Linked DNA regions of Macaca fascicularis. The protein of the gene in region 2 purifies or fractionates together with the protein of the main gene of each other region. This does not show direct contact. Links are inferred from orthologs where the notes say so. Each region holds a gene or a part of one and is shown on either strand. Other genes may lie near its edges. The genes, in order: PDE6D, FBXO10 and ACSL4.

Region 1 (3,751 bases), on a different chromosome or scaffold from region 2:
TGCTACATTACCTTTTCATGGATGTAGGGATCCCAGGAGAATACCAATTAAAACAATATATCATTTGTTATCTAAACTGGCAAACAAAAAAGACCGACCTAGTCAACGTGGAAAACTGAGTACTATCAACACTGTTGGTGGGAGAACATAATGGTGCTCTTTTTGTAGTGATAAACTATTCTTACAGAAACAGATACTCTGAAAGAAAGTTCGGAAAATCTATTTACCCAATAAAAGGTAGACAATAGTCAGTTTCTTACTAAAACATTAATTTTACTTTTTCCTGAAGGTAGTAGCATATCTTAACATTCCTGCTTTTCTTTTCCCTCTTACTCCACAAATGCCCAATAAAGGCTACCAGAGGATGAGCACGCCACTGCTCTCATGCTAACTTTTTGATGTGGCTGCTTCCCTGGTGCTTCAGGATTTAATCAGCTCAGGTCAAGCTTTCCCCGAAAGCCTGTTTCTGGATGCACTAACATCACTGAATTGGTTGATTCGCTTTTCCTTCTAGTGGGCTGACACAGATTCTGCTTTCTGAAACTCTTTTCCGTATTTGTCTCTTATCCTCTTTCTTAACAGGTTCAAGAGCCAAGACTGAAGGTGAGAAGCTCAAACTTTTCTGCTTTGTTCAAAAGCCATTAAAAAGGTATTTCTTCTTTTCAGCAATATGGTATTTCCAATCAGATGAAAACGTTGCTTCTGAAATCTCTCAGTTCTCCATAGTTTCTGGTTTACTGCTTACACAGCATGTTAAGTAACAATATTATTACATTGTTATATGTTAAGTAATAATACAAATTACTTGAGGGAAAAATAAAATTCATGTAATAGCTTTTCCAGCACTTCAGTCATCCCTATATACCTATATGATCCATTATGGAGAGAAACACAGAAAGGCACATGGAGCTCTAAAGAGGCTGCTACTAAATCACTACATGAAAGTACTGAAACTTTATCCTGAATGGTAGTATGCAAAGGTGATACAGCCTTTAGGTTTTTTTAAAAGCCTAGATCAATTTTCACTTGAAAAATCTCACTTGTACATCCAAAACTTCCTTTTTGCACTGTGGTCTAAAATGTATTACCAACTTGGTTTCTGATTATAGCAAAGCAATTAAATTTTGCAAGGGTGACATGGACATTGTGAAAACACAACAGAATATCAAGAAAACAGTGCTTTACTAAACCTCCAAGGGAGGAGTCCTAAAGCGGTGACTACCTTTTCACTGAGGGAGCAATTTAAGAACGTTCCGTACTATAGATTACAGACAGGATGTATGCAGAGATTAAAGCCGGCAGGAGAATGGAAAATTTGAATATACAAGTTTGCATTTTTTCATCTGCATCATATGGTGACAGACTAACACACTCCACGAAAACACAAAGCTTCCTTACCACATTAAGGAGAGGTTGCAAGAGCGGCATCACAACAGGCCCGAGGCAATGATTTCTCTACCCCACTATCCTACCGTGGCCCCGGCGACATCACACTATTGCTGGACAGCTCCACCACAGCTAGGCATTAACCGCACCAACAGGAGCGAGCAAAGACACCTCGGCTAGGAGCCCCAGCGCGAGGCACCCCACACCTAAGCCTATGGTCCTCGTGTTGCTGGAAAGGAAACTGAGGCGCTGAGGGGGAAGCAGTGACCAATGCCTCAGAAGACCAAGAGTGTTAAGACGAGGTTGATCTTGGACTTCTCTTTCCCCACCTCCCCCAACTACTCTAGCCCTGGAAGAAGCCACAAGTTTGGAAGAGAAGTTGTGGAAACCAGACGGGGGTGGGGTGCGGTGCGGTGGGGGCCCTGAGAGAGTTTTAAAAGCACTGGTATTTGTCCCACACAAGGTCGCCCGCTCCAAGTCACTGTTCCCCGCTCCTCGGGTAGGCTTATAGCCAAAGAGGCTTCTAGACTTTAAGATCAGCCCACCGCGCCCCCTCAGCCCTTCCCTGCGGGCCGCAGCCCCCTCCCGGCCTCTGGGTCCCGGCCGGGGATTGGAACCCAGCCGGTCTCTCCGACAGCGTTTGCGACGCCCGGCACCTCTCGCAGCCCAGTACCCCAAGCTCTTCCGTCCCCACCCGCCACCCCCTGGGGCTCCCGTCAACGTCCCCTTCCTCCCTCAGGACGCCCCTGGGGGCGCTTCTCGCGCCTGGTCCCGCCGGGTGCACGGCACGCTTTTCCTTTCCTCTCCTCTCCCGCAGCCCTTCTTCCGCGGGGCCCACCTGGCGCGGCCCCCGCCCCCAGCCAGTCTCCTCAGTGAGCGGCCGCCTCCCAAGTCCTCCCGGCCCCGCCCCGCTCCCGGGCGGATACAGTTTGAAGCCCCTCAGGATCTCCCTGGCCCGCTCGTCCTTGGCTGACATGATGCGGCGCTCGCCGCCCGCGGCTTTCTCACTCTGGTCGGCGGAGCCTCGCAGACGGTGCCCAGGAGCCGAGGATGGAGCCGCAGCCCGGCTTGGAGACCTCGGGCGAGCAGCCGCAGCGGCCAGACCAGGACCGGCCTCTCTCTCCCCTCAGCTCCCGCTCCTGATCCCTTCTCCTTCCCCCTAGCCTCGCAGTGCCCCCCTGGAACCAATGGAAAGCCAGCTTTGGCGATTGGCATCCCAACCAGCCAGTAGGAGCGCGCTGCGCCTTCGCAGGGGGACTGTTAACGTCAATGGGAAGGGCCCTCCCCGGGAAGTCCCATAGGACACAATATTCATCTGGTGTTATTGCCTAGAGTTTGTCCCAGCGGAGTGTTGGCTTCGGATCTGCAGAGGCTTTAGGGACCTGCTCCCGCAGCTGAGCACACTAGCCATTCGAGACGGCAGCTGGTTGCACTGTGCTACGCGACAGAGACTACATTTCCCAGCATTCCAGCGGCGCACTCGGGGGACTACAGATCCCAGCGCACCACAAAGAGGTCCGGAGACTACAAATCCCAGCATCCTCTGCACTCGGTTCCTCTGTAACTTAGACTCCAGTGTGCCGCGCAGTGTGCGCAAATTCACAAACCCGCCCGCTGAGTTGGTGGTTTCGGAATCCCGAGACTTGAAACCCAGCGGGAAGACCCTTCTCACCGTCAAAAGAAGATGACAGCCCGCAGAGAGTTAACTTCTGTTTACATGGAACTCAGACATCTTCTGCAAATCATGGTAAGGCTGCTAACAACAAACAAAAACACTGATTAAACCGTGAAAGATAACAAAATGACTTCTTCAAATCGTGCTTGTTGGTCTGAGGCGCCTTTTACGTGTTTTTCAGGGGGTTTTGCTGTATTCCTGCTTTGGACCGGGAGAGCTATGGATTGTATACTCAGAATATCAAAACATAAAGGGACTTTGCTAATCTACCCCGTTGTTACGTATGAGGAAATTGAGGCCCAGAGAGGCGAAGGGATTGGCCACAGATCACAGCAAATTCGGGCAGAGTTAGAATTCAGCCCTAAGTCGGCTGACTTGCAGTCTGGACTCTTTGCACCACACTAAGGAGGTGATATTTTTAGCAGCATAGCAATGTGAATTATTCTCCTTGAACAGTTTTCCTATCCAGTGTTGAAACACCCAGAATTAGGTAGCATTTATTTGGTGGATTTCTTTCAAGTGAGGGAGTGTGATATTTTTTTTCAGCCTAGGTAGGACTTGGTGTTTTGTTTTTTGCCACTCAAGGTGACATTTAATGTGATTTCAGGAAGTAGGTAAAATTGCAGTGTGAGCCACGGTTTCCTTGGAAACCTCCTCTGTCCTTCTCTTGGCCTTCCTTCCTCTGCCTGT
Region 2 (3,651 bases):
AGTGTCAAAAAAAAAAAAAAAAAAGCATGGGCTCTGGGGGTTGACTGCAAGTGTTATCTTGGACAAATGACTTCACCTCTTTAAGCCTCAGTTTCCTTGTCTGCAGCATGGGGCTCACTAGTTCACAAAGCACCATGCTAGGCACAAACTTGGCACTCAGTCAAAGTCAGTTATTATCATCTGGGGTCAGGGACACAAGGAGCAGAGTGTCCTCAAGAGTCTGGGGTGGAGATGGGGCAGTGCTGAACTCTCCTGCCTAATTCATTTGGCCCCCTTGGCTCTCTGGGCCCGACTGAGAAGCAGTCTTACTGAGGCCCATTCACTCTCTATTCCTGAAAAAGACCTGTTTCTGGATTTCACACGTATTTCATCAGATGTATTTGAACCATCAAATGAGGGACTATCTCATGATTCTATTTAATAATCCAGACGTACTTACCCCTTGAACAATTTTTAAAATTCTCTAGCAGTGATCTTTGATAGATTGTCCCAGAATTTAAGCCCCCTTAACTTCTCTAAGTTCTTCCTTATGGCTAACCTAATTTTTCCTTGCTATTTAAATCCATTTTCTCTCTAAAGATAAAAGCCAGCTCTCTGGAGATGCAGAGCCACTGCTAAGGTTCTCCTTGGAAGTCACTGAAAACTGCTGTGAAATCGCCTTGGCCTTTGCATTTTTCAGGCAAGACCATCCCAGGCCCCCGTGCCTGCTTTAGTTGAAAAACAATCACGGACTGAATACTAACTAACGTATGTTATATGCTAAGCACTAAGCCAGAGGGCAGGCTACGAACAAGTCTAATGCCAGGCCTCATCCCTTGAGGATCTATGGTTGTACTTCTGAGGGAGAAGTAGAGGCTGAAATCAAAATATTACTCTAAGAATAAATGCATTACAAAATGTGAAGGGTCTGGAACATTGTTTCTTTCCAGAAACAAACTCTCCTTCTGGGCCTGCAGAGCAGCACCGGGAAGTTCATCAGTTCTTCTGAAATACTCTAGGGCTAAAACATAGGCTTTTAAGCTTTTAGGTAACATAGCATGATGTAATTTTATAAGCATTTAGATGAGAAGGCCTGAATTTGGGATCTAACTTCCCTAATTACCCACTTGAGAAAGTTACTTACCATCTCTGAGCTTCAGTAGCCCTCATTTGCAAAATAGGGATACCACATCTACTTCATCTACACACGTTTGCTGTGGGGGTCCAATGAGGTGACAGATGGAAAGTCACTTAGATTATGAATAGGCTTTGGATCTTACTAAGTCTGAGACCTTGATATGACAATTTGCTGAGCCTCCGTTTCCTCATCTATAAAATCAGATGACATTACCTATCTCATAGACATGTGGAGAGGAACCCATGAGATAATGGCTATAAGGCATATGGCATGCATATGACATATGTCTGTTATAAATGACCAGTGGTATAAGGATCATTACAAACATGAGAGACAATTGTTATTGGTAATAATGACAATATACTTAAAAAAATCTTTTATATATATATACACACACACATATATATATACATATATATAGTTTTTTTTTTTTTTTTTTGAGACGGAGTCTTGCTCTGTCACCCAGGCTGGAGTGCAGTGGCCAGTGACTCAGCTCACTGCAAGCTCTGCCTCCCGGGTTCACACCATTCTCCTGCCTCAACCTCCAGAGTAGCTGGGACTACAGTCGCCCGCCACCACACCAGGCTAATTGTTTTTTTGTATTTTTAGTAGAGACGGGTTTCACCGTGTTAGCCAGGATGGTCTCCATCTCCTGACCTCGTGATCCACCCATCTCGGCCTCCCAAAGTGCTGGGATTACAGGCTTGAGCTACCGCGCCTGGCCGTTTTTTTTTTTGAGACGAAGTCTCACTCTTGTTCCCCAGGCTGGAGCGTGATGGCAGGATCTCAGCTCACTGCAACCTCCGCCTCCCGGGTTCAAGTGATTCTCCTGCGTTACTCTCCTGCTGCCACCATGCCCTGCTAATTTTGTATTTTTAGTAGAGACAGGGTTTCACCATGTTGGTCTCAAACTCCTGACCTCAGGTGATCCACCTGCCTTGGCCTCCCAAAGTGCTGAGATTACAGGTGTGAGCCACTGCGCCCGGCCAAAAATCTTTTATTTTTTATGAGCAGGCAGGAAAGCGATGTAATTGACTGCCTACATAATCCAAGTTTCTAGGCAATGTATAAGCTATAGACTGTTCTGCCAGGAACTACCAACACCTGGATACCTGCTTTACTTTGAACCATCTTCTGGCTCTGCGTTCACAGAAGGAATGTGTTGGACAAATATTTCCTGACCTTCTCACCATCGCCCTTGAGAATTAGCAAATCATGGTAAAAGCCTGCCCTCCTTTGATCCCATACAGGGTGTGGGGTTCATGTGCTGAAGGTGACTAGTCCTGTATAGCCTTTTTCCTCTGTGGCTCTCGCTCGGGCTTGCCTCCATGAGCAGCTAATGTGCTCTCTGCTTCCTGTCACTAAGTGGCATGCTCCCAGAACCCGGCTTTCCCGCCTAGCTGCTCCACTGGTGGCTCCAGTTGGTCCAGTTGGAAAGGGAAGAGGTGCAAAAGAATTTTGGTTCCAAGCCCAAGCCATTTTTAAATACAGCTTTACCAGGAATAAAGCAGAATTCTGAGCTCTACTGATCACTGTGCCTGTTTCTCAACTGGTTCAGCACTCAGAGGAGTAGGAGTATAATAATAACTCCTAACTTTCAATTCCAACCAAAAAAGGGATTAAAAACCCAGAAAAGAGGCCAAGCCCCTGGGGTCAGGACTAGAAAGGCCGTCTATTGATGTGGACACCCACCTTATACATGATGGGTGAGAACCAGGCTGGCATGAAGACGAGGTTGCACAGGCGTGTGGTTGAGCAGTGCTGATCAATGCTGGCCAGCAGGGCCACTTCACCCAACTTCCCCTGCCCTACAATCTCCACGGGCACCTTCAGGATGATTTCACCTTGCTCTTCGTACACACCTGGGAAGAGCACAATTCGGTCATACAGGCTGGCCATGGCCAAGGCACTGCCCAGGCTGTCAAACTCATGGCCTGGCCCAACACTCAGGGTACGTCGTTCCCTCCTCCGGCGGAACAGAGAAAAGCAGACGGAAGACTCCAAGTCCAAGGCATTCTTGGTCCATGTCTTGGAGGCAAGGTAATGCTGCTTGAAGGCTTCTCTCCAAGACTCAGGCTCCACATCTGGCTGGTTGGGCCAATTGGGATGGCGGCACTCGGTGCAACCCAGACATAGCTGCCGCCAGCGGGTGCTGTCGAGACTGAGGATCAGTTCATACCAGGCCCTGCATACCAGGCTGCAGCGGCCCAGGTCGGGAAGGTGCAAGTAGGCTAAGATCATGCGCCACAGCTCCAAGGGCAGGCCACCAGCCTCCATGGTCACCTAGGAGACAGACACAAAACAAAAGAGATCTCTGTCTACCCTACTTACCAGTCCCCCTTTTAAATTTTTTTTTTTTAAGATGGAGTTTCACTCTTGTTGCCCAGGCTGGAGTGTAGTGGCACGATCTCGGCCTCACCACAACCTCCACCTCCCAGATTCAAGCGATTCTCCTGCCTCAGCCTCCCAAGTAGCTGGGGTTACAGGCATGCACTACCACACCTGGCTAATTTTGTATTTTTAGTAGAGACCGG
Region 3 (3,651 bases), on a different chromosome or scaffold from region 2:
CCCAAGTAGGTTAGGCACCCCCATCTGTGGTACCATGATTCTCCGTTCATCTCTCTATTGCTGTTAAGATTGTTGTCTCTCTCATGTGCCGCTCTCACCTGATAATGAACTACATGAGAGCAAGAAATGAGTCTTACTACTTTCTGTATTCCTAGTGTGTAACACAATTCCTGGCATATACTATATAAGCAGATTTTCTCCAATTGGTTATTAACGTACCATCTGAGACAGTCCATTTACAGAGCCAAAGTATACACACAAAGCATAATCATGGTTATAACACTATTTACTAAACTTAGAGTTATTAATTTCTGCTTTGCAGACACAAAGTAGATTTATATAACAGATCTACCCAAAGATGGACCATTCCAAACACAGGCTAGATGACCACTTTGGGAAAGATGTTGAAACATGCAATAAAGAACTAGATGGGTTATTTTACCATACGACACTGAAGGATCCTTCCAACATGGAAATCCATTATACATATTTAAGAAACAGGTTTCTTAAAATCCTGTATTTTATTATTAAAGCGAACATCTTGAAGAGCCTAATGCAAAAGACATCATTAGATGACTTTTAGGGACTACACCAGTCTAGCAATTTCTTACTTACTGGCATTTGCAGCTTCTCGAATTTCTTTCAGTATTTCAGCTTCCATAGCAGGATTATTGCAGATATCAACCCAAGTTCCTTCTACCCCTTTCTGTTGTGCCAAGAGTGTCAACCTTTTCTGATTAGGAACCACAAAACTGATCACATAGGACTGGTCACTAAAAAAATAGAAAATAAAATAGAAATGAAAGCATTGAGAAAAGTTATTCATAAATTAGTCAATGAAACAGTACAGTACAGATAAAGTTTCATTAGGAAACAATAAAACCCATAGTACCAGGATAAAGACAGACATACAGACCAATGGAATAGAGAAAATAGAAGTAAACCCTTGTATCTATGGAGAAATGATCTTCGACAAGGGTGTTAAGACCACTCAATGAGGAAAGGACAGTCTCGTCAACAAATGGTACTGGGAAAACTGGATATCCACATGCAATGAATGAAGGTGAACCTTTACCTTACAACATATACAAAAATTAGCTCAAAATGGATCAAAAATCTAAACATTGAAGAGCTATTAAGTTGGTGAAAAAGTAATTGACATTTAATGGCAAAAACTGAAATTATTTTGCACCAATCTAATAAAACTATAAAACTGCTAGGAAAAAAAAAACACAAGAAACACTTTATGAGAATAGATTTGGCAATATTTCTTGGATGTGACACCAAAAGCAAAGGCAACAAAAGCAAAAACAGATAACTGGGACTGCATCAAAATTAAAAACTTGTGTGTATCAAAAGACTCAATCAGCAGAGTAAAAAGACAATCTATGGAATAGAAAAAAAGATTTGCAAATCATATATCTGATAAGGGGTTAATAAACAGAATATATAATTTCCATAATTCAATAACAAAAAAACAAACAGCTCAATTAAATAATGAACAAAGAACTTGAATAGACATTTCTCCAGAGATAATATATGAATGGCCAACAATCACAGGAAAAGGTGCTCAGTGGCACTAATCATTAGGAAAATGCAAATCAAAACCAAAACAAAATATCCCCTCACATCCATGAGGATGACTACTATATAAAACAAACAAGTGCTAATGAAGAAGTGGAGGAACTAGAATGTTTGTGTACTGTTGCAGGAATGTAAAAATGGTGCTGTTGCTATGGAAAACAGTATTGCTCTTCCTTAAAAAATTAAAAATAGAACTGTCATATGATCCAGCAATTCCACATCTAGGTATCTATCCACATAATTGAAAGCAGGATCTCAAAGAGATATTTGCATACCCATTTTCCTAGAAGCATTACTCACAACAGCCAAGAGGGGGTAGCAACCAAAATGTGCACTGACAATGAATATATAAACAAAATACATTAATGGATACAATGGAATATTGTTAAGCCTTTAAAATGAAGGAAATTCTGACATGTACTATAATATGGATAATCCTTGAGGACATTATACTAAGGGAATTAAGCCAATCACTGTATCATTCTACTTATGTGAGATTTCTAGAGAAGTCATATTCATAGAAACAGAAAGTAGAATGGTGGTTCCCAGGGGAAGGAGGGAGGAGGAATGGGAGTTGTTGTTTAATGGGTATAGAGTTTCCATTTTACAAGAAAAAAAGGTCTGGAGATTGGCTGCACGCCAATGTAAATATACACAACACTACTGAACTGTACATTTAGAAACTGTTAAGATGGTAAATCTTATGCTATATGCTTTTTACCACAATTACAATTTTTAAAAAAGAATAAAATCCATAAAAATAAGACATATCAACATATAAAGAAAATGGCTCAGTCTCAGGCTTTTGATTTAGAAAAACTTGGGTTCAAAATCCATCTCAACATGTAGTAGTTGTGTTACTTTTTTTGGCAAAATTACTTATGCTAAGTCTCAGTTGTCACGGATGTTAAACGAAATAACTTGTCGCATAGCTAAGTATTTAGCAAGATGCAGGTGTCCAAAAACATAGTTAACATGTCTGAGTTATCTCAAATGATCTTCGAGCTGTTGATTCAATAACTTTCATAAATGTACAATTCCCCAGATCTGATGAAAATTCTAAGAGGAGTCTATGTTACCCTTATGATAATACGCAATCACATTATTTTCTAAATATCTTTTGACTTATGAAACAAAAAATACAACTTTGGAAAGTTACCTTTTGGCAAAAGCACAGATGTTGTCAATAAGTGGACAATTCTTCAGTGCAGCTTCTACTTTCCCAAGAGATACATATTCTCCTGCTTGTAACTTCACTAGATCTTTCTTACGATCTGTAAGTCATAAAGAATGTTAAGTCAGCCATAGTTTGTTTTACTAAGGTATATGCAATTCTGACTGTCTTCTTTGAATATCATTGCCTTAATTGTTATTTACAAAACTACTTCTTCTAAAATTATTACTAGGTTGGTGCAAAAGTAATTGTGGTTTTTGCCATTACTTTTAAAATGGCAAAAACTGCATATATATAATGCTTGCCCATACACACCAGTTAAAAAGAAAATGCCTAGTTAAATAAGTATTGGCTAAAAGTTACACCTTATACCCAAAGCTTTAGCATCTTATTATAATCTTAAATATTATAATCAATTTAATAGAAGGAACTAGGACTTTGGAACATTCGATTTTAATGGTAACTCTGCCTGATACTAGCTAAGTGATCCTGGGCATGTCAGTTAACCTCCTAATCCTCAAGTTTTATCAGAATAATGATGCCTACCTCATACAGATATATCCCACAATGTCTGGCATATAGAACACATTTAACACATGTTAATTCTCCTTTTCCACTTTTGACATTATCTTGTTAAAATGACAGTTCTCTAAGAAAGTGCTAGTACAGGATGGCACAGCTTGAATAATCATCACATGGCCTTGGAACCTTCGTATGAGTGCTGATTTGCCTACCCATAGCCTGGGAACCCAGTCTACAGAAATAACCTTTGATTCCAGTGCAATTAAGGAACAAGGGGAAAATAAGCTTATTGTTTCTCAACTGAACCACGGTTCCTAGGAATTTCCCCAGCAGATCAAATTTCTAGATGAAGAACCAATTTTCCCAGGAAA

The links.
Region 1: the proteins of FBXO10 (region 2) and PDE6D purify together in Homo sapiens (affinity purification with mass spectrometry; 3 studies listed by BioGRID and IntAct, with this or other methods). This does not show direct contact. The link is inferred for Macaca fascicularis from reciprocal best matches to the Homo sapiens genes FBXO10 and PDE6D.
Region 3: the proteins of FBXO10 (region 2) and ACSL4 purify together in Homo sapiens (affinity purification with western blotting; 3 studies listed by BioGRID, with this or other methods). This does not show direct contact. The link is inferred for Macaca fascicularis from reciprocal best matches to the Homo sapiens genes FBXO10 and ACSL4.

What each region holds. Positions count from the first base shown.
Region 1 is NC_088386.1:127,707,068-127,710,818, forward strand, and holds the start of PDE6D (retinal rod rhodopsin-sensitive cGMP 3',5'-cyclic phosphodiesterase subunit delta), read right to left. Parts: upstream 2,528-3,751; 5' UTR 2,363-2,527; coding exon 2,313-2,362; exon of another isoform or gene 1,429-2,312; coding exon of another isoform or gene 1,399-1,428; intron 1-1,398. UniProt on the Homo sapiens protein: Promotes the release of prenylated target proteins from cellular membranes. Modulates the activity of prenylated or palmitoylated Ras family members by regulating their subcellular location.
Region 2 is NC_088389.1:61,783,651-61,787,301, reverse strand, and holds part of FBXO10 (F-box only protein 10), read right to left. Parts: intron 3,401-3,651; 5' UTR 3,395-3,400; coding exon 2,810-3,394; intron 1-2,809. UniProt on the Homo sapiens protein: Substrate-recognition component of the SCF (SKP1-CUL1-F-box protein)-type E3 ubiquitin ligase complex. Mediates the ubiquitination and degradation of BCL2, an antiapoptotic protein, thereby playing a role in apoptosis by controlling the stability of BCL2.
Region 3 is NC_088395.1:116,219,311-116,222,961, forward strand, and holds part of ACSL4 (long-chain-fatty-acid--CoA ligase 4), read right to left. Parts: intron 2,859-3,651; coding exon 2,744-2,858; intron 774-2,743; coding exon 616-773; intron 1-615. UniProt on the Homo sapiens protein: Catalyzes the conversion of long-chain fatty acids to their active form acyl-CoA for both synthesis of cellular lipids, and degradation via beta-oxidation. Preferentially activates arachidonate and eicosapentaenoate as substrates.